2 linked regions of the Xenopus tropicalis genome follow. The protein of the gene in region 1 interacts with the protein of each later gene in a pairwise test. Links are inferred from orthologs where the notes say so. Each region holds a gene or a part of one and is shown in the gene's direction. Other genes may lie near its edges. The genes, in order: tubgcp4 and sdsl.

Evidence for each region.
Region 2: the proteins of tubgcp4 (region 1) and sdsl interact in a two-hybrid assay, tested with the Homo sapiens proteins (2 studies listed by BioGRID and IntAct). The two-hybrid records come from large-scale screens. The link is inferred for Xenopus tropicalis from reciprocal best matches to the Homo sapiens genes TUBGCP4 and SDSL.

The regions. Positions count from the first base shown.
Region 1 is NC_030679.2:107,035,228-107,051,747, forward strand, and holds part of tubgcp4 (gamma-tubulin complex component 4), read left to right. Parts: intron 1-1,064; coding exon 1,065-1,187; intron 1,188-2,880; coding exon 2,881-2,934; intron 2,935-3,134; coding exon 3,135-3,191; intron 3,192-6,086; coding exon 6,087-6,166; intron 6,167-7,260; coding exon 7,261-7,459; intron 7,460-13,284; coding exon 13,285-13,450; intron 13,451-13,785; coding exon 13,786-13,910; intron 13,911-15,577; coding exon 15,578-15,628; intron 15,629-16,025; coding exon 16,026-16,131; intron 16,132-16,520. UniProt on the Homo sapiens protein: Component of the gamma-tubulin ring complex (gTuRC) which mediates microtubule nucleation.
Region 2 is NC_030677.2:146,172,127-146,188,646, reverse strand, and holds sdsl (serine dehydratase-like), read left to right. Parts: upstream 1-3,043; 5' UTR 3,044-3,108; intron 3,109-3,455; coding exon of another isoform or gene 3,456-3,473; coding exon 3,474-3,632; intron 3,633-7,891; coding exon 7,892-7,931; intron 7,932-8,100; coding exon 8,101-8,240; intron 8,241-10,593; coding exon 10,594-10,682; intron 10,683-13,282; coding exon 13,283-13,513; intron 13,514-14,016; coding exon 14,017-14,141; intron 14,142-15,252; coding exon 15,253-15,446; 3' UTR 15,447-15,696; downstream 15,697-16,520. UniProt on the Homo sapiens protein: Catalyzes the pyridoxal-phosphate-dependent dehydrative deamination of L-threonine and L-serine to ammonia and alpha-ketobutyrate and pyruvate, respectively. Also exhibits racemase activity towards L-glutamate and D-glutamate.

The DNA.
Region 1 (16,520 bases):
TCAACATGTTGCATTGAACCTTCTAGGATACCTGTTACTGTTTGTAATGATCTGAATGATCTGAGTCCAAAAAAGTAATGAAACAACATGTTAATATTCATAGGGATGGTATAATACAATTAGCATAACTGATTTAAATTGAATGTCCTTTTTAAAGAACCTACTAAAGGGTATTGGGAGTAAAGGAAAGAAACCATAATGTGATACGTTGCAGAAATCTGACCAGATAACTATCAGGCAGGTTTGAAAATCCTGTCTGGGAAAGATCACATTTGAACTCATCTGTCTGTACATGGCCAAGTTTGGTATCCAAAATCTCATGGTAATTGGGTTAAAATCAGACTTTCTGACAAACGCCTAATGTTCTTTCACAATATTCGTTTTGATTAATAGTTTATGGGGGGGGGGGGGGGGGGGTGCGTGCGCAACGAATGACAAATCCATATACACGAGTATAAGCCGAGGGTGACTTTTTTTAGCACATTTTTGGTGCTGAAAAACTCGGCTTATATGCGAGTATATACGGTAATGCTTTATTGGAGGCAAAACAATTCTATTGGGTTTATTAAATATTTACATTATTTTTAGCAGACTTAAGGTATGGGGATCCAAACTATGGAAAGATCCCTTATCCTGAAAACCCCAGGTCCCGAGCATTCTGGATAATAGGTCCCATAACTGTACAGTCTTATGGAATTATTACTCCAGGCCAAATGTGACTGACCACAGGTGGATTGAGCTATGAGCACATTCATAGAAAGGCTACGGACAAAGTTTCTCTCTAGGTACAGTAATTTGGGGCTAAAACCATTTGGCTGATTCCAGAGAGGTGCAAAGGCTGGGTGTTACAAGAGTGAAGGAGGAGGATGATATAAGGTCAGTTAGCATTGAAGTAGCTAAGCATATAAGGGAAGCCCAGCCCCCTCAGCTCTCCTTTGGGTTTGTGACGAAAAAGGTTTTTTGTTAATTCTGGCTGATAATTAATAATAATAATGGAAGGTTTGCAATGAACATTGATATATTTTTATTTAATTGTAAGATTTGTTTGTTTTCTTTTTTTTCAGGATCACCATCCCTCACAACAAGGACAGGTCGGCCTGCATGGCATTTACCTGCGAGCGTTTTGCAGAGGCCTTGATTCAATACTTCAACCTTACAGACAGGCCTTATTAGATCTGGAGCAGGAGGTATATAAGCATCCTTTTCCAAAGAAGTAGGGCAGCATTTTTGTTTTTGTATTGCAAATGTTGAAGACCACAGTAAGAGGCATCAGATCGATATGCCACCTTATCTGATCCAGTGTGATCAGCCTCTGATTAAGGAAAAAATATGTATAATAACTGTGCTCTATATTTTCAATCTGCATTAATCTGTTACATAGTAAGTCATAGAGATGGCGTGTTAACCAATTCGCCTGTGCTGAGTGTTACATAAAACTGGTAAGTGCAGCCGCACTGAGCCTTGGACTATATTCTAACAAGCCCTACTTACTCGTTGGCCTCAGTGCCTGAGCGGCATTCTACACAACACCAATTTACTACTGTCCCGGGGGCCCTTCTTGACATATGATATATTGTGTGGTTACACATGCCCTTAGATATAATCATATTGAAATCATTCATCTTTTTCTGGAAAGAAACAATTTAGTTGTGTGTCAATGAGAGCGGGTCAGGGTGCTTTATAAAAACTTATAGGAACTGCACTCCTTATGCTGGCGCAAATGGTGCCATAACTGATAGCACTCCATCATACTGACCACCAAGTAGTTGTCAGTACACACTGAGTTAGCACATAAATACCCACTACCAACAAGAAAAGAGACCCAGTTAAAAAGAGGGTATTCAGACATAGTCTTAATGGAAAATAATCAGTCCATATCACCTCAGCAGCATTACTCAATATAAGGTCACCCCATATTGAGTGATGCTGCTGAGGTGATTAGGACTGATCCATATCCTATTCTAGTAGCATGGGTTTTGTTTAATTATGTGCATGTTAATAATATTTTGTAAATATGTGATTTTATGTCACTTGCACTATATGCAGTCTATCCACCAGTTGGCCGTGAAATGGGCATATTTTCCATTAAGACAGGGATCACCAACCTTTTATAACCGTGAGCCACATTCAAATGGAAAAGGTTATGGAGAGCAACACGCATAAAAAATGTTCCTGGAGGTGCCAATGAGAGCTATAATGGACTATTTGATAGCCCCTGTGTTGACTGGAAGCCTACAGAAGGCTCTGTTTGGCAATTACACTGGTTTTTATGCAATTAAAGCTTGCCTCCTATCCAGAAATTCAAAAATAAGCACCTGCTTTGAGGCCCCTGGGAGCAATATCCAAGGGGTTGGGGAGCAACATGTTGCTCACGAACCACTGGTTGGGGATCACTGCATTAAGACTATGCCTGAGTGCACTCTTTTTAACTGGTTTATCATTCCTTTTATTGCCTCCTTTTTTAAAAAAAATAATTTATTAGAATTTTTTTGACAGACTTATTTATTTGTATATTTCACTTCATTATTGTGAGTGAGGATTCACTGGTGAACAACACTAATGGCTCATCCATAGAACCAGTAAATTGTAGGCAATGGCCAAAGTAAACTAGCTGTGTCACTTCTGCTTGTGAAAAAGGTTTATATGAAAAATGTCATGTTCCCATGAACCACAATTAACTTCTGGATCATTTGGAAACAAAGTCAGTGGCCTGGAAATAAAAATAAAAACAGCAAACAAACTCTACACTAAACATTCTGATTGACTTGTGGAATGTAGACACCAGTGAGTAATTTATCAGTATAGTGCAGCTGGGTAGGGCCAGTGTTAATATAAATGTACCCACAGATTAACATTTTATGTTACTTTACTTTTCTGCAGTTTCTGGCGGATCCACATCTTTCCATATCTCACATTAATTATTCCCTGGACCAGGTAAGTGTGTCAGTGCAATATATTGTTTTAGTCTTGGCTTATCTTACTAAACCTCTGGCACTTGGTACCTGCAAGTCTTATTTTTCATGAATAAGGTAACATTTGGTACAAATACATTTTCTGTCTTTCTTCAAAGAATCTACAGTATATCATACTGCTGCAATAATATTTTGATTTAAAGATCTTTTTTTCCTTTACAGTTTCACCTTCTGTTTCCATCAGTCATGGTAGTGGTGGAACAGATCAAGAGCCAAAAGGTAATGCATTACTTATGGTTCTCTTATGGTTATTTCTTGTGTTCAAATGTGTTAAATGGAGTAATTTCATACACAATAAACAGCTCTGTCAAAAACATTGTTTTAGCTTTTTAGCTAATGTAGTGCTGTAACATGTTTTGCGCTGTATATATATATATATATATATATATATATATATATTTAAGAAAAAAGTCCTAAAGTCTCTTTGCCTTGCAAGGTATTTGTGGGCACATAAACATGTTTGGTGGCAACAGACTGAGATCCTCAGGCTTCCTTCTCTTTAAAGGTCTCATAGCTTATCAAGCTAATTAGTCAAGTTGCAAGTTTCCTAAATGAGCATGATATTGTTCATTAGTTTCTGCTAGCTGCTCATTAGTCGGTAGACTGGGATTTATTTTATTGCACAGAAGGAGAAAATAAAACATACCCTATGAAGGTCTTATGGGGCATTGTAATATGACGTGACAAGTACTGCTTCTGGTCAAGAGAACTCTGAATTTGTTACACTCGTTGAGCAAAACTTTATTTAGCTGTTTATATTCATTTCTACAGTTTACTGGTTGTGTGCTTTGAGTATTTAAAGCATAATAAATGTTGGAAGTGTGGGTGGACAGAGAATTAGTCAGGACTTGGAGAATTGGAGACTTGAGTGATTGGTGCAGCTTGCGGGGGTGTTCTATAGGAAACAAAAGAAGACGTTTTTGAAGGCATCTCGGGAGCCTACCACCCTAGCTGTCAGAATTGTGTTGAATTATCTGTGTACTGTGTATATTTGTGTTCAAGCTGGAATTTTTTGATCCATGGCAATTTTCCTCTTGAATGACAACAGAGATAGTGCTGGTGAAATGATTGTCTATATGTTTTTTGTTAAACTCAGCTGAGGCAAGCTATTTGGAAAATTTCACTCATTTCTATACAGATATGCAGAGAAGGTAATTGCTATGCACCTTATAACCCGTGTTCCATTACATTGTTTCGTGAAAATAAACAAAAGAGATACTTTTATTTAAGGTATAGCTTCCCCTTAAAAAGACTACAGACTCTGCACTGTACAGCTATCTCATGGGCACCTTTAAACTTTGATTCCGCTTTCACATTATCTAACATTTCTCTGCCGTCTGACATCTCTTGATGTTACAAGAAAAGACAAGAACATTTTTATATGCCAAGTTCATTTAGAAAGAACCCCACAAGTTGAATGTCATGTCTTTTACTACTGATTTGAAAACAGAAGGTCAGTCTTATTCTCTGCAGTTTCCTGGGCAATTCATGAGGACCTACACAGCTCCATAGTAATGCTGCCTTGTTTTGCCGGAGGCCTGGAAGTGCAGTACCTTAGCTTAGCTTCGGTTAATGTTACACTATAAACACTCTTACTTCTCTGTTTATCATCTCGTTGTCACTTATTATCTCTAATAAAGTCTCAGTGGGCTTTGTAATTCTCTGATATGAAAACACACAACTTGTCATTTCATCTGCTGGTATAGAAAACCTTCTATGCTGACGGCGTTTGCTTTCATAGCAGCCACCTGTCACTGCGCACACAGGGCAGATTTGGGCCCAAATGTGCACACTTAAAGGGGTTGTTCACCTTAATATTAACTTGTACTATGATATAGATAGTGCTATTCTGATGCAATTTGCAGTTGGTCTTCATTTTTTATTTGTGGTTTTTTAATTATTTAGCTTCTTGTTCAACTCTCTGGTTTGAGATTTCAGTACCTATGTGGTTGTTAGGGTGTTAAATACCCTAGCAACCAGGCAGTAGTTTGAATGACAGATTGCAATATAAATAGGAAAGGACCTGAATAGAAAGATAAGGTGTAAAAAAATAACAATAAAATATTTTTTTGGCTGCTGGGTCAGTGACCCCCATTCGAAATCTATCTGAAGTAAAAGGCAAATACTTCTATACAAAAAATAAAAATAAAGACCTTTAGGTTAACATACTAAAAGTTAATGTAAAGGTGAACTACGCCTTTAAACGCTTTTGGACCATGTGTAACACGGTGACATGGATGTCAGTGACTGCCTGCTTAGCTGCTTCATATGGAGCATTTTCACGCTGGTGAAAAAAAAACTGCAATATATGTTGCTAGTAAAAAGACTTTTATAAGAATCTGTTCTAGGTTTTGTGGTTCTTGATCCACATTTCATCATTTAAATTTTCTGATGGTTTTTTTCTGCATAACTCGTTGCCCTTCTCCATTCTCATCATTATGGCCATGACTTTGTAGCCATTCTACCGTAACACATTCTAATACAGGTATGGGACCTGTTATCCAGAATGCTCCGGACATGGGGTTTTCAGGATAAGGGATCTTTCTGTAATATAGATAGCCATGTTTTACAAAAAACATTTAAACATTAAATAAACCCAATAGGATTGTTTTGCCTTAGAAAAGGATTAATTATATCCTAGTGGGGATCATGTACAAGCTACTGTTTTGTTATTACAGAGGAAAAAAAGGAAATAATGTTTTCACAATTAAAACTGATGCTATGGGAGATGGCCTTCCCTTAATTCACTTCAGAATGTACTTACACTGCTAATAAAAAACACTTGTGTTGGAACCATAACCCTTGTGTATCCTTCCCTTAATTCAGAAATTTCTGTATAACAGATAACAGATCCCATACCTGCACATTTTAATTTTTCATTTCCATATACATATATACACAGACATACATGTATAGATATTTGGAGTAACTCCACTCACAGCTGCTTTTGTGGCAACATGGCTCAAAAATTTACAGAGAGGATATTTCACGTCAGTACCTGTAAATAAGTATAGGAAAAGAGTCTTTTGAAATCAGGGGATACTTTTGTGTTGACAAGTAAATACTGGTAAAATGAGTTTACAAATAAGTGACATCACTGTGTTTTCTTCCCAGATTCATGGCTGCCAGATACTGGAGACTGTGTACAAGCACAGCTGTGGAGGACTGCCCCCTGTACGCAGCGCATTAGAAAAGTATGAAATCTTATATGTATATTTTCTTTCCATTATTCGGTTAGGTCCCCCTTTTACCCATCAGTGCTGGAATCAGTCTTGGCATGTATGTAAGGTTTAAGTAGAACTAAACCTTAAAAATTAATATAGTTAGAAATGCCATATTTTATATACTAAACTTATTGAATCAGCCTAAAGGTTCAACATCTCTGTAGTAGTAATGATCCAGTACTTGTTGACACAGGGGGTCACCGTACTAGAATCTGTTAGAAGTGTCAGTGACACTGCACATGTTCAGCTGTTGAAATGCTAAGCTTAGGGTCGTCTCAAATTATTAAGCAGAAAATTATGTGCGTGTCATAGATTGTGACATTTACATTATATGTATGCAGTATATTGTGAGTTAGTCCCTAAGCTCAGTAAGTGACAGCAGCACAGAGCATGTGCAGTGGATCACAGAAAAGACGATGGGGAGCTACTGGGGCATATACAGAGGCACAGATCTTCCCTGCTAAATGGCTGAGGTTGCCTTGGGCTAGCCTACTTTTTTAGTTAAGGTTTGGTTCTCCTTTAAAGAAACAATTTTTATATTGTATATTAACACTAATGAATGCTTGATGGCAGTCACAGTCACAAACCTTAAGGGGATATTGACAGTTTTTTTTGTAATTGTTTGAATGTCACCCCTAGAAACTAATTTTCTGGTAATTACACTTTTTTCAAACAACATGATTTGTGGTCGTCCTGTTGTTCCAACATTTAGTCCTGTCTCAGTAAGGAGATCTGGAATCTGGGTGGCTGCTTTGTGTAAATTGTAATATAATTCAATCTGCAGTTGGAGAAATGATGTTCTGTTTATAGTATCTGTAATGATAGTTAAGGTGACCTCAACATTGGCCATGCCACAACAATGCCCTATTAGGTATCAGATTGATTATCTATGGGGCAGGTTTAGAAATCTAGTTAAGGAGACCATATATGGGCAGATTTAAGCTGCTGATTTGGGTCCTTCAGACTGATTTAGCAGCTTATCTGCCTGTGTATGGGGACCCCTGACGGGCCTCCCCGACCGTTATCTGGATGAAAATACCTAGACTAACCATGTGCTTGCCTAGGATTCTTGCTGTGTGTCATGGAGTGATGTACAAGCAGCTTTCAGCTTGGATGCTTCATGGGCTTCTGCTGGACCAGTATGAAGAGTTCTTTGTTAGGCAAGGACCATCATCTAATTTAGCTGCATCATCTGAAGAAGATGATGATGATCTGGGCATTGGTGGTCTGACTGGAAAACAGCTGCGAGAACTGCAAGACTTGGTGAGACTTTACACAGTAAATACAGCTTAGCATGCAATTTTTAATGCTATTGGAAAAGTATCCTGTAGATTCCTGTAACTGTGTTGTACCTGTACTGAGATAATGACCATTCCCTTTAATGCATTTTTCTCATACGTCCTGGGGGACACAGGGACCATGGGGTTAAATCCCCTCCCATCAGGAGGCAGGACACTTCAAAACAAAGATCTTCCCCCCTATATAACCCCCCTTCCACCAACAGATACTCCAGTTTTTAATGTGTCCTCGCAAACTCAGGAGGTAGACAACACGGCCCCAGGGGGCCCTACATTATTTCAATCTTCAGCGACTGGAGAATAGATCCAGAAACGGGGTAGGACCTGAACCAGTGTACTGGGCTCAATGAGTCAACCCCCACCGCGGGACCTGTACGGTCTGGGGTATCACCGCAATACCAGACCGAACACTTGGTCAGGCAGACCAGTGGAGGTGAGCGCGAGCTACGCTCTAGTCTCCCTCATACCACACTGCCTGTGATGGCCAGCCCAGGGAACATAACCCTGAATGGGTGGTTGGTTCCCGGCGGCAGGGACTCACGCCACACGGGGAACACATACACGGCAGCGATACTGGGGCGCGGGGCGGAGTGCCGGTGACACCTCAGCGCTACCCTCGCTCCCCTCCCACACACTGCACAACTGTGTACCCGCCCGGTTACTCACCGGGGAACTCAGTAAGCGCGCGAAGGAGAGAGAACTTCCGGGTTGAACCCGCGAATACCCAGTGACGTCACTCCGTGACTTGGCGCCAACGCTCATGCTACGCCCTCAATTTCTCTCTTCGCGCCCTGCAGACGCACCACTCCAGTGGCGGCCATTTCTACCCTGCGCACCTCTTGAACAGCACTCGCTTCAGCAGCTAAGCTCTTTCCTCCTAAGTACTCCTTCCATCACCAGGTACCGGGAGGGGAAATAGCACAAGGGGAGGGACAGCAATAAGAACAATGGCTGAGGGAACGAGCGATTCACTCTTTACAAGGGGGGGGAAACAGAGCTCTAAGATCACCTTTTTCTCGTGTACAAAATGTAAAAATAAACTTAAAACAGGCCAAAAGGAGCCACTTTGCACAACATGCTCTGCAGCAACCACCGCAGACCCCCCAACACCACACACAAACCCTGTATCAGTGGCTGTGGTGGGAAATAGCCCAGAGGAGGCCCCTACTCCATCAGGCTCTGGGACTTCCGGAACCTCTGAGACACCAGCATGGGCAGTGTCCCTTTCAAATTCCCTTCAGGGAATACCAATGCTGGCCTCATCTCTAGATAAAATTCTAGAGAGATTGAGCTCCCCACCTGAAAACAGAAAGCCGGTAAAACGCAGGGCTACTACACCCTCAGGGCCTACCATTCCAATAGTCTCTCCTTCAGATTCAGATGATGATCCTCTTAGCGAAGGGGAATTATCCCCATCTGAATCTGAAGGAGAGGAATCATCGTGTCCTTCTGATCACTCCAGAAAGGTGGAGGACTTAATTTTGGCAGTACTAGAGGTACTAAAAATTGATGAATCAGCCCCTTCGTCTAAGAAACCAAAGGGCCTATTCCGTAGGGCAACAGAACATTCCATTTCCTTTCCGATACATGAGCAACTCCAGGCCATAGTCCAGGAGGAATGGAATGCTCCAGAGCACAAATTACAGATAACTAAGAAATTTGCTAAACTGTATCCATTTTAGGATAATAGAAAAATAGAGCACACCACCGCTGGTGGATGCTCCTGTGTCACGTCTGTCAAAGAATACTGCCTTACCAGTACCAGACGCGTCAGCATTTAAAGACGCAGCAGACAAGAAACTGGAAGGTTTTCTTAAAGCCATATTCACTTCAACAGGTGCAGCATTCAGGCCCATCCTGGCAACTGCCTGGGTTGGACGGGCCCTAGAGGCATGGTCTGACATCCTTTTAACGGGAAACAGAGATGAAATGCCTTTTGAAGACATGGAAATCATCATTTCACGGATTCAAGAGGCAAGTTCCTTTCTTTGTGACGCCTCTCTGGATATCCTAAAAGCAGTAGCTCGCTCGTCAGCCATATCTGTGGCAGCACGCCGAGTGTTATGGCTGCGTCTTTGGTCGGCGGATTTAAGCTCCAAGAAGTCCCTTACATCCCTACCATTTAAGGGTTCGCGTTTGTTTGGTGAGGAACTAGAGAAAATAATTTCACAAGCGACGGGAGGAAAAAGCACACTACTTCCACAACCTAAAACCAGAGGAAATCCAACCACAAATAAGAAACCTAGATATTTTCGTGGACAAGGATTTCGCCATTCCAAGACATCTTCACCACCACGACAGTCATCCTCTAGGGGACGATATCCCTACAAGAGTAAGAACAGCTGGCAGACCAGAAAGAACTCAGCCAAACCCTCTAACGACAAACAGTCATCAGCATGACTGGCCGAGATCAACCCAATCGGACCTCCCAGTAGGCGGCAAACTAAAACACTTCGCACACAGATGGCACGAACATCTAAACGACCCATGGGTAGCCAACACCATCAAGATAGGATACCAATTAGAATTCCACCACCCTCCCCCACCAAGATTTTTCATGTCCAGAGTACCGAAAGACCCTCAAAAGAGAACGGCCTTTCTTTCCATTGTGGAGGAACTGATTCAGTCAGATGTGATTGCTCCGGTGCCCCCGGATCAGAGATTCACAGGATTTTACTCAAACCTATTTGTGGTACCCAAAAAGAATGGATCATTTCGCCCGGTACTAGACCTCAAGCTTCTCAACAAATGGATAATTTACCGACGATTCAAAATGGAATCCGTACGTTCGGTCATTCGGGCCATGGAACCAGGGGAATTTCTCACATCTCTGGACATGAAGGACGCTTACCTTCATGTCCCAATTTTTCCAGCTCATCAGGCCTACCTTCGCTTTGCCTTTCAGAACAACCACTTTCAATTCAAAGTGTTGCCCTTCGGACTATCGTCAGCACCACGCATATTTACAAAAATAATGGCAGTAATGGCAGCTCACCTCCGAGTCCAAGGAGTTTGTATAACTCCATACTTAGACGACCTACTGTTCAAGGCGAGATCATCAAGTCAAGCAGCGACCGAACTAGAGCAATCGATACAAACGCTGCAACAATTCGGTTGGACGATAAACAGACACAAATCCTCATTAATACCGACCCAGAGGATGCCCTTTCTGGGATTCATCTTCGATACGAACCAAGGAAAGGTGTTTCTACCGGAGGACAAGATTCAGAAACTGATATCATTGGTCAGAAGACTCAAGGCGGAACGGAATCCATCCATCCGATTTTGTATGAAAGTGTTGGGAATGATGGTATCCTCTACAGAGGCAGTCAGATTTGCACAATTCCATCTCAGACACCTACAGAAGAACATTCTATCAGCATGGAAAACTCACAAGCGACTCTCCAAGAGAATCAAACTATCACACCAGACAATGAGTTCCCTGAATTGGTGGTTAGTGCAATCACACCTGTCTCAAGGACGGTCGTTTGTGGAACCAATGTGGCAGGTGATAACCACCGATGCAAGTCTCTCGGGGTGGGGAGCGACATTCAGAAATCAGACAGCGCAGGGTCTCTGGTTGGAAGCAGAAACCAAAATGCCGATAAACATACTGGAAATCAGAGCAATGTTCAATGCCCTACTGCATTGGGAGAAACAATTACTAGACCTAGACATTCGAATTCAGTCAGACAACGCCACAGCAGTGGCATATATCAATCGACAAGGGGGGACGAGAAGTCCCACAGCCTCAAGCGAAGTAAGAAAAATCCTGAACTGGGCGGAGAATCATGTGTATCAGATATCAGCGGTACACATACCAGGAGTAGCAAATTGGGAAGCAGATTTCCTAAGTCGCCACCAGTTAGATTCAACCGAGTGGGAACTAAACTCCGAAGTCTTCGAGTACATAGTGACCGTCTGGGGTCAACCAGAAATAGACCTCATGGCATCGCGCCACAACCGGAAGACAGAGAGATTCATGGCAAAGACAAGAGATCCATTAGCGACAGCAGTCGACGCTCTGACAGCAAAATGGGTAGCAACATTGGCATACGTATTTCCTCCCATAGCTATGCTGCCTCGTATACTCAAGAGAATAAAGCGGGAAAGAGGTACATTTATCGTAATAGCTCCCTGCTGGCCGAGAAGGTCATGGTTCTCGGACCTGAAGGAAATGTCAGTCGAACAACCGTTGAAACTACCCAGTCGGGTAGACCTTCTACATCAAGGTCCAATTGTGCACTCCAAACCAGAGATGTTTTGTTTGATGGCATGGCTGTTGAAAAGTCCATTTTAATTAGAAAAGGGTTCTCACCCGAAGTGGCTCAAACCATGATCAGAGCTAGGAAGAACGTTTCTTCTAAATCATACCACAGAATATGGAAGTTATTCATTAACTGGTGCTCATCCCGACAAATTGACTATGAGAAAGCGGACATTCCTGTAGTTCTACAATTTCTTCAGGAAGGCTTAGACAAAGGGCTGGGTCTGAGTTCCTTAAAAGTGCAAGTATCATCTTTATCGGTTCTGTTACAATCAAGATTAGCATTACAAGAAGATGTAAGGGTATTTCTACAAGGAGTGGCTCATGTAGTTCCTCCCATACGGTCTCCGGTTCCTCCTTGGGATCTGAATACGGTTTTGGTAGCATTGACCAATTCCCCTTTTGAACCGATTTCTATCATTGAAATGCAGTGGCTCACTTGGAAAACGGTTTTCCTAGTGGCGATATCATCGGCACGAAGGGTGTCGGAAATAGGAGCATTATCCTGTAATTCTCCTTATTTAATCTTTCATACGGAAAAAGCAATCTTAAGGACCAGACCTTCCTTTCTGCCCAAAGTAGTTTCCCCTTTTCACTTGAACGAGGAAATAGTAATTCCTTCCTTTTGTAGCACACCCAAGAATGCCAAGGAAGAGAAGTTACACAACATAGATGTGGTGCGTGCCCTACACACGTACGTGGAACGAACAGCCTCATTTAGAAAATCGGATGCATTATTCGTAATTCCGTCAGGCAGCCGAAAGGGATTCCCAGCTTCCAAAGCCACCATTGCCAGGTGGATCAGGGAGGCAATCCGTCGGGCATATATTTCCCTCCAGAAGCCTCCTCCATTTCGAATAAAGGCACACTCCACTAGGGCAATGGGTGCCTCATGGGCTTGTAGAAACATGGCATCTGCGGAGCAGTTGTGCAGAGCAGCAACTTGGGCTTCGGTTCACACTTTCACTAAGCATTACAGACTTGATACTTTTGCATCTGCAGAAGCGGCATTTGGTCGCAAAGTTTTGCAGTCAGTAGTACTGTAAGAGTTATATTAGTTATTCTGTTTTCTTTCCCACCCTATCAAGGGACGTCTTTGGTATGTCCCCATGGTCCCTGTGTCCCCCAGGACGTATGAGAAAAAGGGATTTCTTTACTTACCGTAAAATCCTTTTCTCTCTAGTCCTATGGGGGACACAGGGACCATGGGGTTAAATCCCCTCCCATCAGGAGGCAGGACACTTCAAAACAAAGATCTTCCCCCCTATATAACCCCCCTTCCACCAACAGATACTCCAGTTGTTTCAAAGAACCGAGCAAACTATTCCAACTGATAACTTAACTCGTAACATAACTGGCTGAGTAGAAGGAGCTACCTCCCATTGTTTTCTGGGAGGGAGGCCCTGTGTCCCCCATAGGACTAGAGAGAAAAGGATTTTACGGTAAGTAAAGAAATCCCTTTATATGTATTCTGCCTCCATAAGAAGCTGTACTTTACTATGTATGCTGTTTGCTTTTGGCAGCGTCTCATAGAGGAAGAGAACATGTTGGCCCCATCCCTCAAACAGTTTTCACTGAGGGCGGAAATGCTGCCATCCTATATTCCAGTGAGGGTTGCAGAGAAGATACTGTTTGTGGGTGAATCTGTTCAGATGTTTGAGAATCAAAATGCAAATATGTCTAGGACAGGTAAGAGAGACAATACGGAGCCTGGCTGTTTTTATTTCCTTAAATTGTGTTCAGCTGTCTTTTCTATAGGCCTAGGAAATAAAATCTCCCAGTTTGGCAAGCAAGATGTCCCTTTCTAGTTTGCAGCATAGAACCTATATAGCACATCGCACATATATATATGTAACTAGTCCTTGGATGAAAGTTGTAAAGGAGCCAGTTATGTGTTACGTAAGTCATTACAGGGCAAATGTACATGCTAGTGCTGGTAGTGTACAGATATAACATTTATGCAAGACTAAATATTTCCAGGTCGCTTGCTCATTTCTCTATTCATCCAAAGCTGTTCTCAACAGGTTCCATCTTAAAAAACCAGGAAGACACATTTGCAGCAGAGCTCCATCGGCTGAAGCAGCAGCCTCTCTTCAGTTTGGTGGATTTTGAATCTGTTCTTGACCGAATCAGAAGCACGGTAGCCGAGGTGAGCCTCTGCCAAATGTTAGGGTAACATCAGCACAGTAAATGTGTTCAGTAGCAGAATTACCCTGTAGAGATAGATCATTGCCATTGCCTGGAATTCAGGCCATCCTCTGGCTTGATGTACAGTAACTCTGTTAAACTGATGAAACACTTGTCTCCCTCATTTGCAGCCCAAGCATCCTTCATAGTTAGTTATTCTCTGCCCCCTGCCTTGTGAATGAGGGTTTGTATGAGTACTGTATCACTGGACCCCTTTGCAGCCTTTTTTTTTTTTTTGCTTTGTATAAGGAAGTTTCCCCACACAGAGAGGACCTAAACTACAATAGATTTAAGAGACTGGTGATTTATCATAGTAAATATTCACAATTATTTAAACATTTAATGTCCTGACTTATAAATAGGGAGTTACCTTCCGGTTATCTTAAGGTAAAACACTAAAATGTACTTTAAATGGGAGCTGCTAGGCAGTTAGTTCCTGAAGAAATGAGACCTAGTGCGTTTGTACCTGGATCTTATATTCCAAGGGCCACTGGGATAATGGGAGAGTGTTATATAATATGCTGGCACTGTATTAATGAAGAATATTACTATTAGTGTGACATGCAAGCTTAAAGTGAATGGCGGGGCGGTGCTGAGTCAGGCATTGGAGAGGAAATACAGGATAACTTTAGTGACAAGCTAAACTAAGAAATTTCATGTGTGTGACCTAGAAAGCAGATTATGGTATATTTAACAGACAAATTGTGTGTGGTTTATAAAATAGTGACCATTGATCATTTGCCAGAGACTCCATGATTTTGCCTCCAAACAGCTATATGATGTATTTTAAACAAGTTATATCTGCTTTTTGCTCATGAGCTTCAGTGAGTCGTGTGTCTCCTCAATAGAAGTACCAAACTTCTAAGGTAGAGTTACAGCGCCCCCATCTGTGATTATTTATATAGTCTAGGGATAGATGGAAACACATCTCCTCACTACTCCTTTCAGCTCAGAGCTCAATCTACAGACATCCTGAAGGTCCTTCTCAGACTCTCAGTGTCTGTTAGGAGGCAGTCATTGCCAAACCAATAAGAGCTCATACCCACAAGTGGATTTTTCCACATGTATCTTCTGCTGTGGCTAAGACGTGAAGTCAGTGGTGATACATATAATATAATAATTCTTAGTTCTTGTTGGGGGAAGGAGGTATTCCCTGTCAGAAGGACTGCTTACAGATTTAGCAGGATATACCACTAATAATATTTTATACAAAAATAAAGAATATGTATTGCTGTGTTCAGTGTACAAGGTACTGCAGAGATGGTCAGTACAGTTTTAAATGCATAAAATAGTAGCACAGGCAGATGTTAAATGCTGTCATTAAACCCTACTAAAAAATTACAAAAATGAAGATCTATTTTTAACCACAGTTTCTGGAGAAAACCACTCCTTCCTGCACAAGAACAGAGGTTTTTACTGGCTTTGATGTTAATGCAGAGACAGATATACCAGAACTATATGGCCTTAGCCTGCAATTGCATACCTTACAAAAACATCACACTGTGGTACTGGAATGGCTTAAGGAGCCACAATACATCCTTTTTTCTTTTACTTTTATATTGATAATCTTTGTTGAAGCTTTTTTTGAGAAATACTAATAAAGCGCAATTATTTTGCCTATACTTCTAGCACTTGTGGAAGCTTATGGTGGAGGAATCGGACCTACTGGGTCAGCTCAAGGTAAGGACTGACAATAACATTGACCTTTCCCTGCTCTACTCGCCTTCCATTGCCCTCTCATATAATGCTATATATGCAGCTGTGGGCTTGGTCAGTTTCAGAGCCACTGGAGCCTTGTACTTATTACTGTTTGAAGGCAAATGATAGCTCCTGGGCTCCCAGCTGCAGCTTGCACCCAATGCGCCCAATCCCCATCTTATTCTTCTGATATTCAAATCCCTAATACTTATGTTTTGTTTATAATCCCTGGCCATCAGGTAGCACATGTTTTAGCCATTCAGTCTCATATATACGCTTTTTCAGTGCCAAATATAATGTGCTAAGTTTACTGTTGGCAAGAACAGTTTGCAAATTTATCTTATTAGCCTTTCACTAACACTGAAATTTCTCTTTTCAGATTATTAAAGATTTCTATTTACTGGGGAGAGGAGAATTGTTTCAGGCCTTCATAGATATTGCCCAAAATATGCTGAAAACTCCACCTACTGCAGTAACTGAACATGGTGAGTGCTTCCACAGTATATTAGTGTCTTCAACCATAGCCAGAGATGCTGGGAGCTTGTTATTTAGCAAGAGCTATTTACTGCCTGGTATATAGTCACTTGTACTCAATACATTGGCTTAACCATAATTAAAAGCTTTTATTTATATTATTTTAAGCACACCTGCATTGGTACACATACTGTTCCGCAGCCAAGTTTTAGGCTAGGTGCGCCTGAGCTCCTGTTGCAAAAACTTCATATTGCCTTTTTAAAAATGTTTCAGTGGATCCCTTACCCACACAACCACCATTTTTATCTGACACTGGGAAGATTAGCCATGCTTCCTGATTAGACCAATGACAGTGCACATTGGGACACACAGCTAATCTGCTTAGCAACAAAAAAAGATT
Region 2 (16,520 bases), on another chromosome or scaffold:
TAGCATAAAATATACAAAACAACACAGCACAAATTAAACATAATGCACAAAAGCATACTATAGCATTAGAAAATTTATAAGCCCAGTATGAGTTTATCACCCTTTTCTATCTATCTATCTATCTATCTATCTATCTATCTATCTATCTATCATCTATCTATCTATCTATCTATCTATCTATCTATCTATATATCTATCTATCCTATAGTATGATGCCCACAAGCTATCAGATGCATGACCTTTGGTTCACTCGTGTTAATGTGTCTGTATTTCTGTGTTTGTAGTCCCACATTTACTGCACTGTACAGATTCTAGTTCTTGGTTTATGACTTGAGAGCAGGAATAGTGAATACCTTACATACACGCGCAGCTTGTATCTGTTCTGTTCCATTAATAGAGTGCTAGGTCACCTGATGAGGGCTAGCTGGCTGAATGTGTCTCCAGGCTGGAGATTGTCACACATACATGCACAAATAGTGCAGACTCATGCTGATTTAGTTACACATCCTGTGCAAGCTCAGGCAAACAACCAGGGTGCTGCTCTCCTATGTGTTATGCAATGTGCACAGTGTTATAGATGCCAACTTAGCAAAATGTAATTTAACACTTTCTTGCATAAAAGGAATCTGGGGAGACTTATATAGTATATTCTGTACATGGAGAGCCAAGGACCTCTAAGAAAGTTTATAATAAATACATTTCTGAGAACCCCAAATATCATTCACACAGTCATTAGTGACAATTAATGATGAGTGAAATTTTTCACCAGGAATGGATTCGGCAAGTGAGTAAAAAGTCACTGTTGCATCAAAAAAAGTTGCACACTTTAAAAAAGTCATGTATGTCAAAAAAGTTACATAATAGACACATTTCGCAATTTTTTTGCTATTTCACAAATTTTTGTCGTGCATTTTTCGTCGAAGCTAAATGGGAAAGATTCACTCATCACTAGTTACAATAAAGAAGATGGCAGTATTATGTGGGTGCTGGAGTAGGCCAAGGAGGATCTAATTGAAATGTAGGGTGTTTAAAAAATTAGAGCAAATTATTTCCATTAACAGTATGGCACGAGAGATCACCATACAGAGCCAGAGCTACTAATAGTTACTGTAGTGTGAAGCATGCCAGGAGGGCATCAGGCATACACATGAATCAGCTACTGGTCTCCACTACTTTGCAATATTTGAGAAGTAATTCCGTATGAAATGCTGTCCAAGACTGACAACCAGATACTTTAGTACACAGACTGCAAATGGACAGGGCAGCTGCTTTAATAAATGGGCCAAAGAGGCATTTGCCCAGGGCCCACTAGACTAGGACCATCTCCAAGAAATCGTAAATCCCTTATTTCAATCAGATGGAATATGTGTAAAATAAATATTTTTCAGAGCCCTGGGATCATCATAGCCGGAATGTAAGAATATCCCTAATGCAAAGTTCTTATTATCTTGATTTGTAAAATACAAATAGAGTGGAAAGTATTGGAGCATTAAAGGTGAGGTTCACTTTTAACCCTTTCACTGCCAGTTGATTTGGTCAGAACTTTTGTTGCCAGACAGCTTTTAAACATTTTTAAATCTTTCACTTTAGGGGCCGTTCCTTAGGGGGACTTTTAGTTTACCCAGGAAAACAATATATTGTTTTCAAAAACTCCCAGCAGTACACTACCAAATTTCCAAAGCACTGCTTCAGAAAGCTGCATAAAAAAGCTGCCAAAAATTACAGCAATCATAGGTTCACCCTAGAAAACGATACATTTTTGGAAAGAACAGATTCAGATGAATCCAGAATAGGTAAAACTGTCTGTCTACTCCAAACTACCAAGTTGCAATAGGTTTTTCTAAAAAAAAACTGAAATTTTTGAAAAATCACTTCAAAGCTTACACTTTGCAGCATCTTATCTCCCACATAACATTAGGTACCAAGATAAAACACCCTAAATATGAACGCCAGGGGTCCACTGAATAGTTTTATGCCCAATATGTATAGGTTTACCTAAGTATGTGGCTTTCAGGAGCCCCAAGGTGAAGATACCCCCATATGATCTACCATTTCTGTCATTTCTGCTCCTGCAAAATCAACACATTTATATCATTTTATGTGGGATAAAGCTATAAAGAAGTACTTTAACTCCAGAAAGCTTTATATTTTCGGAAAGTACACATTCCTTCAAATCCAAAATACATGTCTTTCTACTCTAAAGTACCAAGACAGCGAAACTGTAATCTATAAAAGCTGGAGTGGGCAGATGTCTAGCATAATAGCCAGAACACTACTTCCTGCTTTCAGCTCTCTAAGCTGTTAGACAGTGAGTGACTTTAGGAGGGGTCACATGGGACATAACTGTTCAGTTAGTTTGTGAGCATGCAGGTCAGATTCGCAAGCAAACTTACTGAATAGTTCATGTTCCATATGCCCCCTCTCAAGTCACTGATTGGTTACTGTGTGCTAACAGCTTAGAGAGCTGTAAAGGAGGAAGTAGTGTTCTGGCTATTTTGTTAGACATCTGCTCATTCAAGCCTTTCTAGATTACATTTTTGCCTAACTAACTATATTAGAAACATTTTTTATTTTATGCAATCCCCATTTACCCATTTTTATTTTTACACTGAACTGTTCCTTTAAAGTAGGTAAGTCATGTAGTCAAATGTTACAGTAATCCAAACTGAAAGAAAACAACATGCATGAGGGTATTATCAGTGCATACAGTAGATGGTGGTAATGGAATGGAGTAAATTATAAGTCTAGGTGACAGCTCTGGTGGTGGCTTGTGAGCAAAAAAAAGATAGTTTTATACAATTTATCGAAAAAACATCATAACTTAAGTTATTAAGTTAGTAACAGAATTATTTTAATGAACAAAGAAATGCAGTCCCCGTAATGCAGTGATAAACCCTTTTAAACTTGACCTATCAGCAGTAGAAAGCTTATAGCATTCCCTGAAACATTTCTCCTCCCCACAGGCACTCCCTCGGGACCTTGATCTGTTATTAGTAAAGTGGTTAAAGATTATCTGAGGCAAAGCGGTCAGTGTGGATGTCAGGCTGCATGCAGTCAAGGCCTAAGTACTGAGCTCTACAAAGGAGCAAGGTGCTCTGCTGGCATCAGGTTTGTACTGTGTTCTGTGTGACTGGGTGTTTCGGCCCCCTTTGCTGGAGGGCACATATTATTTATAGAGCACCCAATAATATAATTCTTGTTTTCATAAGTTTATTAGCTGAGTATGGGTATAGAGTATGTTATGAAGATAAGTAAACACATGAGCTAACATGTTTTGTTCTCCAGAACATCTCTTGCAAGGAAAAAAATATGGTGGCCTCAACTAGGAGTCATTATGGTATCTTATGTCTAAAGCAATCTGTACATGTTGTGGGGGCAGCGTCTTTAGCTCTACTGACATATCAGTCGAATGACTCTTGTCAAAGCTGCTTATACCCTATTCCGTATATGAACAGGTCATTCTTCTTCAAGAGATGGATTTCACAGAGCAAGCTCCTTTTCATATTGTCACCCCTCTGAAAGAGAGCCATGCTTTATCCAAATTGGCTGGGACCACAGTTCTCATGAAGCTGGAAAATGTTCAGCCCGCAGGGTCATTCAAGATACGTGGGATTGGACACTATTGTCAGAAGGTGAGTGGCTAGAATTAACAGCAACGACAGTGCTGCATTTCTGCTGAAATACATGACTTAAAGGTATTTGCCAGAGTATAGAGGTGTGCTTCTCCAAATACCAAAAGCTATGACTGAATGTTTGGCTGGGAAGCAGCCGGGGAAGTGAGTGCACCCTTGAAACGTGTAGGTGATGTGCTGAAGAATTTGCTTTCTTTAGAATTAACAGCTGCCATATCTGGCAGAACTGGCACAGAAATACCAAGGGGATATGTACTGTATAGGGAAGAGTTGGGGAGACTGAAATGAATACAAGAAAAAATATATACAAATTTACATTAATTGTATTAAATTATATTAATCCTAGTTTGGGCATGTCATTTTGGTTGCTAGGGTACCCCAGAACCTATATTGTAGTTTTACTGACAGCCTTGAGGGTTAATTAGATTACTAAAATCAGTGTTTTATTTAGTGGCCTTTGTTAGCCGTATTTCCCTTAAAGGACAAGGAAAGGCTAAGTCACTTGGGGGTGCCAAAATGTTAGGCACCCCCAAGTCACTTAAATCGCTTACCTTGTACCCCAGGCTGGTGCCCCTGTTAAGAGAGAACAGCACCAGCCTGGGGTAGCAGTGAGTGTTTCCTTCTTCCGCGTTGGCGCGCTCTGCATGTGCAGTAGAGTGAAAACCAGAACTTTAACAAGAAAGTCAACTTTTCACTCTACTGCGCATGCGCCGGCCCAGGGATTTCGCCACAGAAGAAAGAGGAAGGAGGAAGCGCTTCCTACAGGTACCCCGGGCTGGTGCTGTTTTCTCTTAACAGGGGCACCAGCCCAGGGTACAAGGTAAGCAATTAAAGTCTTTTACAAAATGCATTAGGTATTATAGCTCCTCCAACAGAATCCTGCATTGAAATCCATTTTTCACAAGATCAAACTGATTTATTTAATTTTGACATGTTTATGTCAAATGTCATGTTATATATTGATAATGTTATACAGTATATTGATAATGGGTTAGTGCAGAGGACCTCATGTTTCTTTCTATTTGTTTCTGTTTGGAATTTTGTGGGCACAGCCTCATCGCACCCCTGCTTTATGGTATAAAATTTAGTGGTGAGCACAACTTCTCGTTTCCCAGGTGCCCTCAGTCATGTGACTTGTGCTCTGATAAACTTCAGACTCTCTTTATGCTATACTGCATGTTGGAGTAATGTCATCTCCCCTTCCTGCCCCCACCTCCCGCAGCCAATCAGCAGAAATCAGTTATCAGCAGATAATAGCTCCCTGACACTTGCATTGCTAAAAATGCTCCCATGTCCCACATAGTGGCTAATTTGAAAGCAGTTGTGCAGCACTTTTTAAAAGCTCACGATCAGACAAAATGCACTGAGATGGCTGCCTACACACCAATATTACAACTAAACAAATACAATTTTTTGGTTCAAGAATAAAATTTGAAATGATAGAATTAATTATTTGCAATGTACACCGTGTAATTTAGTAATATAAATGACACCATATACATCATGGCAGAATCCCTTTAAGGCTTACTAAGTAATATTAGTTTGGCCAAGTTCTGAAACTTAGTGAAGAACCATTTCTTTGGATGTTTTAAATAAGCATTGTATTGCTGAGAAAGAGTTTTTACAATGATGTTTTGGCTATGGGATCATTTCATTTTATATACTGTAACATGTCTTGTTTTGTCTTGTATCTCTATTCCACCCATTGCAGTATGAACCAGTCTGGTAATGCCCTAGCACTTCCACTGTGTAGCCTTGTATGGTTATAGTGATGTTTAAAGCTGTTTGGCACATTGACTGTGTATTATACTATTTGCTTTTACAAAGACAGCAACATTGCACTGATTTCACTGATCACCCCAAGGGCCAAAAGGGTTGCTACCTTTTCTGGAAAATACTAACCGTCCTATACCTGTTATGCTTTCCTATTAACTAACATCGGCATCAATTAGCATATTTGCTGACTGAATGGTATCTCTATGATTTAATCAGTCAAGTCTGTTTTATTTGTAGAGTTAACAGTTGCTAAAGCTGGCCATACACGTGGCGATCTCACGATGTTTCGTACGACCGTCGGTCGCACGAAACATCGTCAGATCCGCCACACACCATTCAGGGCTGAATCGGCAGGTAAGGAGGTAGAAACAATAGGATTTCTACCTCCTTCTGCCGATTCAGCTCTGAAGGGAGAATTTTGGTCAGGCGCCTTCTATGGCGCCCGATCAAAATTTTCTAACCTGGCCGATCGGCGAGTCGACCGATATCAGCAGCTTCCTGTGATATCGGTCGGCTCGCTGACATGCCATACACGCACCGATTATCGTACGAAACGAGGTTTCGTACGATAATATCGGTGCGTGTATGGCCACCTTTAGTTACAATTCTGCTGGTAGCCCCATGTCTATGTGCTGCCTGACAAGTTTTAGCCATGCTTATTTTAGGCTACTGTCATTAACTGAAGGGTGACTAAATGAATAAAGATGTCCAGCCAATTTGATGCCCATAAACATTTGTATCTTTAGAAATGAATGCATGTTTTGTACCCAGGATCTAGCACAGCTTATATATAGCACTACTAGCAGACCCAGTAATAGTAATTTTGTAATATAAAAACTGGACAAATGATGCCGTTTTTTGGAAGGGACTTTACCACTTAGTAAATGAGTCCCCTGGAGCAAATGTTGCCCACTGTATTACATGCCCCATAATGTACTATTTATCTTATTCAGCTGAGAGATATGGATGTCTATCTATATACATTAAAGGAGAACTAAACCCAAAAAAACAAATGCTGTATTTTATATACTGAGCTTAATGCTCCACCCTAAAAGTTCAGCAGTATCTCTACAATACTACTACAAAAATAATCCTGGCTATCAAAGTCTGGTAAATTATCTCTTGTAAGGTCAACGATAGAAAAAGTTTATCAGAAGAAATTTCTGAACTTTCTAAAAATAGTGTCAGTACACAGACCGTGTATTATGCAAACAATAATTTGTGCTTACTTTGAATTTTCCTTTTCGTAATTTCTGTTTCAGCTAAGGCTATAAAGGTGCACAAAATAGGAGAAACATGCTGTAGACATTTAACTTCATCAATGACAGAGTTGCAGGTTTACCCTTAGCTCAGGCAGGGTAGAGTTGAAATTTGGCTGACCATTACGGGTTTGGGTGTGGGCCATACTGGGGAATTACACATTTCTCTCCTATGTTTCCGAAGTTTCCTAATCCTATGATGCTTTGATCTTCTGTCCAATGGCCCTTATTCCCGTTGTTGTAATTTTATAGTTTAGCCCTATGGTGCCCACGTTAGGTAGGCATATCGGGAGAGAATTCACTCATTTGGCAGCTAAAATCTGCCTGTGTATGGCCACCTTAATTTTAATCATACCAGATGTGTGAGCTTCATTATAGTTAAAGTTTTTTGGGTACCACAAAGATGGGTGCAAAAAGGCAGTCTTTGAAACCAACCATACTTACAGTAAAATTTTTCTTGTATTGAACTGAAGTTTGTGCAATGGCATAAGAAGTTCTTAGATACAGAGAGCAAGAGAGAGATGTGGAGAGTGCAGAATGAATGATGCTGTAGAAAAAGAAGAGCAAAGCTCTGACTAACATATTGTTAGGACTTGGGGTTATTTAAAAAAAAAAAGGCACTAAGGGGCCGATTTATCAAAATTTGAGTTTGTGTTTTTTTAACGATTTAAGAAAAACTACAAGGAAAAACCACTGAGCTTAAATAGAAATAAATGGGAACTGCTAACAGCTTTTTATATATTTATTTTTGCTAGTTTATCAATGTGATTCTACCCAAAAACAAAATGGGCGCAGGAATATCCTGGCATGTTTTATTCTTAAATAAGCTAGTGTTCAAGAAGAAAAGTTTTGCTGCAGTGAATTTTTTTTTTTTTTTTATAAACTCAAATTTTGATAAATCTGCCCCTAAGTTTGCCCAGGAGTTGTAACAAGGCTGGCAATCTGTGGATTCTGGCAAATGCCAGAGGGGCTGCTGTAAGATGCCATAGACAGTGACTATTTGTTGGGCCTGTGGGGGGGCTGTTTGAGCCTCTGTGTGCTTGAAATGCCAAGACCTATTTTAAATCCAAGCAACCCATAGCAACCAATCAGCATGTAGCACTGGTCACCTGTTTAAAAAACATCTTAGCTATGGGCAAACAGTGCCTTTTATGACCTATTTGTACCATAACTTTGCCTTGTTGAAAGCTGTGGCAAACTAAACTTTTTCTCTCTGTTTTTTAGCTTGCGAAGAAAGGCTGCACGAGGTTTGTCTGTTCCTCAGGTACTGATGAAGCTACTTTATTTGGGTGTCTGTTGATCTTAATCTGTTTGTATCTATGAGTCTTTCTTTTGTGCTCCACATACACTTCCAGCATTTACTTTGCTTCCTTGCTTTGGTGCTTTTGCTGCCCTACCTTATACTGTACATTCTCTCTCTCATTCCCACACAGGGGGTAATGCTGGGCTTGCAGCAGCTTATGCTTGCAGAAGATTGGCCCTGCCAGCCACCATTGTTGTTCCACAGACCACTGGAGCAGATATTGTACAGAAGCTGCAGGATCTGGGAGCTGACGTTGTGGTGACTGGAAAGGTAAAAAAAAAAAATAATCTCATCATAATAATGCTTCTGCTGGTTTTGACTTACATTCAGGTACCCCTAAACAAGGGCCCCTCATCACTATCCTTTTATGCATTCATGTAGTCATTCTTTCTTCAAGGGTTTAAAAAGATGCACGCAGATCCTGCTTAAAACTTTACTTACTGTATTTATATTTGGTATTACTAAGGGTCCCCTCTGGTCGAAGGGCTACAGTACAGACTTGACATGTCTTTAGCAAAACAATACTTTCTCCACTCTGTTAAGTATGGTACATCCATGAATACTCTCCAGAAGCATGACTTGTAGTGGGTTGTACTGTATCTGAATAGTAGTTAGTAACTAGGGGAGGGAAGATAATTTGCTGGCATGATTTTGGGGACAATTCTTCTATGTCTTCTGGCTCCATGCCTGTAAGAGTGTGCCTCTTCAAGCCATTGAATAGGAACTGAAAAAAGCCAAAAAAATGTCAATAAATAAATTATTGTCTTAATAAATCACATCTAACCTTTTAACCAGTATTCTATATTCAGGTAGATACAAAAAAAAGGGAAGGAACTATCAATCACTGGGTGCCAGATACTACAGTATATTTTATCAACAGCCCCAACAAAACCATTTGGCAGCATCTGACAAATGAGAAAAAAACACATGTATGTGCTCCACAATCTTTTACTTAGTCACCCTTTGGATCAGCCCATAAACCTATCCATCAGGTTGTGGCAATTAGGTCTCTGTGTGTGTGGTCATGTTAAACTATTACCTATCTATCCTACTGAATAATTGGTCACATACTTATGTAACACATTCTGAGATCGGTTTTATAAAATGGTAAAAAAACTTTTGTTTTCATCAAGATAAATTCTAAAGATCTGTACAAGTAAATCAGATGTGGGAATAAATTTCAGAGTATTTACTGGATAATTCTTTTTGCATCCTATAATGATACAAATGGCCCTTTTATTACCTTCACATTCATCCCACTCTCCAGGCTACTTATACCAGTGGATTATTATATCTTGCTTTAACTAGACAGATGATGTGACGAATGCTATATTTTCATCCTTTTATAAATATGTACTGGTGTCTAATGTTTTTGTACAGCTGTGATAGCTGACATGGAAATGGTCCTGAAAACATCTTTTCATGGTGGGAGGAATGTTTTTGCAAATATTAGGCAACTAGTGGGTTAAACAAGAGAAAAAATCTTCTTGAATACTGGGGGACCAAGGGGTACAAAGGAGCCAGTACACAGAGCTTATTTACTATTGGTACAGATACAAGTGTAGAAAAGATTGCAAGATTGACCCCTTTTGGGCCCATATAGAGAACACTTTTGTCAATCCATGGCAGGTGTAATCTCTGGTCTGAGCCTGTCCATTTGCTAGTGGTCCTTAGAATAATGGACACAAAGTTACAGTTGCAAAGTACAAAATATGGTGCTTTGCACTTGTCTTTTGCACTTTGCATTTACCCCTCAGTTTATGTGTATGAAGCAGACCATCAGGCTCTAAAAAGATTTCAATGTTGGGTAAGTTTTAGTTACACAAATGATTACAAAAATGCCTTATTGATATAGCAGCTCTGGGAGCCAGCTATTAACATATAACACACAGATTTAAATATAGACTACAACAAAACATTTATTGTGTCAAGTGTAATTACAGACATTAAGTAAAACATTTTATCAAAACCTCAGAGTATAAACAGTTTGGTGAATTTTAATACATGTCATTTAGCAAAACATTAGCGTAGAAAGTGACTCATAAAATGTATCAAAACAGACCTCAAAGAGGCTGCAATTAAGGTGAAATGATTCGTGGAGATAATACTTAGCTGATAGGAGCAGCTTAGTGCTTTGTGTCTCAAACAAGTGCAATACCAATATACCAAGATACATCTGCCTCCTACTATCTCACAAAATGGGTAATCATTTAACCCCAATGTGCCTGTGATCTTCTCTTGTTTTCAGTACTCTGGTCACTGGTTGCACTGTTCCTATTATTCTACTGAAATACAGATCCACACCTCCAAAAGCCTTCAGCCCACCAACTGAGGATTCTTAAAGCTATTGCAGAGTGGCACATGGTGTATACTCACATTAAATGGCACAAAACCAATTGATATTCCAGAAAGAAGCAATATATACATACACTCAAACATATTATATATATATTTAGATTTATATATACAGCAGAACCCCAATTTTATGTTTCCCAGGCATCAAAACAGTATAAATTCCATATTTATAGAGGATTTCCAGCTACTACAAGACCTTGCTCTACCACAAGCCATTCTTCTAGAAACTTTGTGCCATCACTAACTTTCTCTCCTCTGCCAACTGCAGGTCTGGGACGATGCTGATGCACATGCTCACCAGCTGACTGAAACTCCTGGCAGTGTGTATATCTCTCCGTTTAACCATCCTCTCGTCTGGTGAGCATATATATAGAGAAAATAGTATTAGTGTTACTTTTGCTAGGTACATTCATATCTGGGACTGCAGGGACTGGCACAACAAATAAAAGGTTATTGCAGCTATTTCCCCCATACTCTAGGTCCTATTTTAGATAGACAAATAGAATTGGTGCAAGCAGGATCAAACACTTTCAAACAAAGAGTAAGGAACGAGTTCTGTGTTCACCTTTATTAAAATTAGACACTATGGGCCTGATTCACTAAAGGGCGATAAAATGTGCGCTATTTTTATTGTGCGCTAAAATTTTTACCGCGTCTTAATTTTGGCGATTTTTCGCACGATTCACTATAAGCATACTTGCGCTTTTTTACGCGCGATATTGCATGCGTTATTTAACTCGCGAAGACTATTTCAATGCGGTATTTGCTGGTACATGTGCTAAATTACGCCCGCGAATAGTCGCCGCATATGAATGGTAGCTTAGAAATAGTGTATAAAAATTGTCGCCGCATATAAATGGTGTATATAAATATTAGCCACATATAAATGGTAGCATATAAATGGTATCATATAAATAGTAGATGCTTATAAATAGTATATAATAAAGAAAAGAAAAAAGATCGCTCTAAGGGAAACCCTAAAGCGAAACAAAATTTCTCAGAAACAATATAAATAAGTAATAAACAAATAAATGAAAAAAATAATAAACTAACAAACTATAAGTACCACGTGGTTAGATGAGGCCCGGGTGTTTAAACCCCGAGCCTGCCGCTCAAGTTTTAGAGTCTATCTCTTGTGTAGTTTAGAGTCTGAGAAACAGCATGCTCACCAAGATCCGGCAGTGGTCCGAAGTGTGCTCGATGTCCTTTCTTCCGCTTATAAATAGTAGCCACTAGTGATGAGCAAATGTGTTCTGGTTTCTTTAGTGAAAAATTAGCAAATCTTTCGAAAGATCCACGAAACGGCAAAAATGTTGTGCGGGCAAAAAAATTGTTGCTGTGACTACATGCGTTTTGCCATTGGCGGATTGTTTTGCGAAACGCATGAAAAAATCCGCCGCGAAAAAATTCAACGCACGTCCAAAAATTCGCTGCGAATCCATGCCTGGCGAAGCATTTCATCACTTGTAGCCAAATATAAATAGTCGCGCAAATGAACGCACGCCATGTTAGCCATACACGCCAATACTTGCAGAAAATTACTGTATTAAAAATGAACATTTCGCTGCAAACTGGCGGCTGCGTCACTCTAGGGGAAACACATACTTGAATAAATAACACTGTAAGTCCATATTTTATTGCAAAAAATAATTTACTGTACTTTTGTATAATTTTTCGCCTGCCTGTAGTAGGTGTTAATTTTCGCATAGCCGAATGCGATATTTAGCGCGCAAAAGTTATAGTGAATCATGCGATCGTATTCTTTTCAGCGCAGAAATTAACGCATGCGGTAAAACTAGTGCGAGAAATAACCCATGCGAAAATGGCGATTTTTCGCACGCGATAATACTATGGTGAATCGCGCGCAAATTATTTTGCGTTTTTTAACGCAAAAAAGCGTGCGATCATTTTTATCGCCCTTTTTTGGTTTACCAAGGCTGCTCATGTTTACCACAGTCATTATTTAGGCCTCAGCCATTTGAAATTTACTTACTAGAATAAAAATTATTGAGCATTACCAGCATATGGAAATATTCCTGTATGTTGCATGTACAGAAAAGCTGTAACACTACTGGAACACCATTATTTGTTTAGAAAGCTTTTTTTGCGTAACATAATAAAAGGTGGACATTTGCTGCAAGTCTCATCACATGTAACAACAACAGGTAGCATTTACTGGTCAACAAAACATTTTATTGGTTGCTATGGGTTACTGCATCTGGGTAGAAATTAATGCCTTGGCTAACATATTGGGTGTCATACTTACATTTTATTGCACAAGAAGGGAGAATTGTGCATTAGGCTCTGTGAAGAAGTAAATGCTTCCTGCATTTCCGGTGGAGCAAGCAGTCCACTTAAGATATGTAAGAGAGCATCCAATATGAGCCAGCCATTACACTTTAAGAAATACTGACTGATACAATACCACAAAGTAATGAACACTGGCCATTTATATACACACAAAGGTGTGAGTGATTTAAAGTCAAACTCTACTCAGAGTTTAGCCAGTAGTTCCCTCTACTGGCTCCATCCCCTCTCCTCAACTGCAGCACTAAAACATGGCAGAATGGTGTTTAGGAAGCAGGTAGAAAGGTGGCCAATCACTCAGACTGATTTAGTTTGGTTTTCTATGTGTGGATAAATTATCCCTTAAAGCAGTGATCCCCAACCTGTGGCTCATGAGCAACATGTTGCTCACCAACCCCTTGGATGTTGCTCCCAGTGGCCTCAAAGCAGGTGCTTATTTTTGAATTTCTGGCTTGGAGGCAAGATTTAGTTGCAAAAAAATACAGGTGTACTGCCAAACAGGCAATGAGACTTATTTTCCAGGTAAGACAAGAGGTTTCAGCTTGAAAACTCATAACAGCACTGTTGCAGTAGTTAATAACTGGTTATTAACTGGTAATTCTGGGAAATTCTTCACTTCTTCACTGATTGACTGATTTATTTATTTTCAGGGAAGGCCATGCCAGCCTTGTGTGTGAACTAAAGGCTTCTTTGGGTTCTCAGAAGCCAGGTGCACTTGTGGTTTCTGTAGGGGGTGGCGGGCTACTTGCGGGGCTGGCTGAAGGGATGAAGAAGGTGGGCTGGTCTGATATTCCCATAATTGCAATGGAGACTAAAGGTGCCCACTGTTTGAATGCAGCGCTTGAAGCAGGCAAACCCATCAGCCTTCCAGACATTACCAGGTTAGAAGTCATTGTCTACCATACCATGCAAATATATTCCCCCTTGTAAAATATCTCTGAATTACACATTAGATATACCTGTATGTAATATGTCAATATGTAACAATAAATAACAAACAGCATCGGCTTATAGGCACTCAAAGCATCCACAAGGGTCACAAAAAGTAAAAATAAAAAACGTCTTCATTTAAAGCTCCATTAAAATGAACGTCTCCCAAGACGCCCTTATGCCCAGAGGACACAAAACACGTAGGGACCATGACTAAGAGCCTAGAGGACAGGAAATGCACAGAGCATCTTGGGAGATATTAATTTTAATGCAGCATCCATTCCTGATTATTTCTCATGCCCATGAAGAACACTGGGTCACTTAACACATCACAAGAAGATTGTTTGGCACATTACCCAAACTATAATGTCATTCTTTTCTTACTGATATCCTGTAATGCAACAACCTACTAATGTATAAATGTGTGTGTCTGTCTCTTGCCTGTCTCTTTTAGTGTTGCCAAGTGTCTTGGCGCAAAGACAGTATGTGACAGAGCCTATGAGTGTACAAGGGAGCACAAAGTTATCTCCATTACTGTTGATGACAGAGAAGCCATTCGAGCTGTGGAAATGTTTTTGGGTGTGTATTAAATGCTCTCCCTCCATGTATTCCTCTTGCCTTCTTTCCCTTAGTCTTTTTTCATGCAAGTCCTTCTAGGTATTTATTCCCACCACTGATCTCCACCAGTCACAGTTCCTCAAGAGCTGGAGAATAGGGATAATTGGACTGCTTAGCTTGGCACAGTTTTGTGGCAACATTTGCAGTTTCATAAAAAAAAAGATGTCAGTTTTATCCACCCCTTGCCTTCTACATCAGCCAATTGAGTCAAAGCCTTCCCCAGCCCTCCCCCTTTCTATCAAAGGTGCTGTACAGATTCCGTGAAAGCAATGATCATGGTATTGGCAACATGGGAGCCTTTTTATTCTACAATATAGTTGCAGCATAGTGGAAAGGAACTTCTCTAACAAAGCAGAAAAAATGTATATGCTATTGCAGAGCTAAAGATGCCTTAAAGGAGTGGTTCACTATTAAAGGAACTGTAACACCAAAAAATGAAAGTGTATAAAAGTAACTAAAATATAATGTACTGCTGCCCTGCACTGGTAAAAGTTGTGTGTTTACTTCAGAAAGTCTACTATAATTTATATAAATAAGCTGCTATGTAGCCATGGAGGCAGCCATTCAAAGGAGAAAAGGCACAGGCACATAGCAGATAACAGATAAAACACTATTGTATTCTACAGAACTTATCTGTTATCTGCTATGTAACCTGTGCCTTTTCTCCTTTTTTCCAGCTTGAATGGCTGCCCCCATGGCTACACAGCAGCTTATTATATAAATTATAGTAGTGTTACTGTAGCAAACACACCAGTTTTACCAGTGCAGGGCAACAGTGCATTTTATTTTTATTACTTTAAAGCTCTTTCATTTTTTGGTGTTACTGTTCCTTTAAGTTAGCATTTAAGTTATAGATTGTCCTGTTCCTAGCAACTTTGCAATTGGTCTCATTATTTAATTTTTACAACTCCAATGACCTGTGGCAAACCTACAACAACCTGCCTTTTTCCCATTTAAAAATATTACTGTAAGTTCATTCCTCCGTTCCCAATACCCCACCCTTAGTTTATGTCTCCCCTTGTTTCCAGTGTCTGATTTCCATCCCCTCACTTTATGTTCTCACTCTCCCCAGATGATGAGCTAATGTTTGTGGAACCTGCATGTGGAGCTGCCCTTGCTGCTGTCTATTCAGGACATATCCAACGCCTGCAGCAGGAGGGAAGCTTGAAGACACCCCTTGACCCCATAGTGATGGTAGTGTGTGGCGGCAGTGGGATCAGCATTTCTCAGCTTCAACACTTTAAATCCCAACTGAATATAAACTGACAACTCAAATTATCAAAATCAAATTATTCCTTTCTTGTCTTTGCATTTATTAATAGTAGCTTAACATTAGAGAACCTGCCAGAGATGGATTGAGTCAAATAGGGTAGTACATTGGAGGCCCATTCTTCTGCAACTGTTCTTTCTTTTAGAAATATGTAGGATTTTGCCATTGACATACCATATATGTTGGGATTAACAAACACCTTATTTAAATAAATTAGGCAACTAGAAAGGATCAGACTTTATAAAACATTTGCGTAAAGAATATGTGCCGTCTTTGCTTGGTGAATTGCTGTTAAGCCACAAGGGGGAGCCAGAATACCTGAGGTTTTGCAGCATCCTTACAATGATAGCAAACTTAGATTTAATTGTGTTCGATCTTTGTCTCAATATTAACTTTATTTCACACACCCGTATGTATCCCTGTTTTCTTTGGACATCTGTGTCCCCTGGTCTTTTTTTCCTGAATCCTCTGTTCAGTATGGGCTCAAACCTTTGTCCCTTCAGCCTCTTTGCTTGCCCTTTCCTCCCTCTCTCCTTCCTATCTCTGATAAATATCCTGATTCCATAAGCCCTCCTTTAAAATCTCACTGGGCTCAGACCCCCATAAATCATAACTCTCCAGCCAATATCTTATGTAAAAAGGTTCCTCAAGGCTGGGAAATCCTATTACCAGAAGCACCATTAATTATACCAAGTCAGTTCTCCCTCTGGCTGTAATATGTTATCTGCAGTCCTTGCAACTGAGACCAGGGCCTATCCCACTACAAAGACCAGAAGGGATGTAAAACATGTATTGAAAAATCAATAGAACAACATTATGGCCTACCATGCAGGAGAAGAAAACCAAGCCTGACAGTTTCTGTGCACTAACTCCCATAGATGTCTGCAGGAGGCTGCATAAAGCAACGCTTAATATCTTTAAAAGGATTATTTACATATAGATTATGCACTTAAAGAAAGCTTAAAAAATGCATAATTAACAATATAGGTAAACATTTTGTTATAGCTCCTCTCTATAAGAAGGATGGGTCACATAAAGTCCTCTGAATGCAGAATAGGTCTGAACAGAAG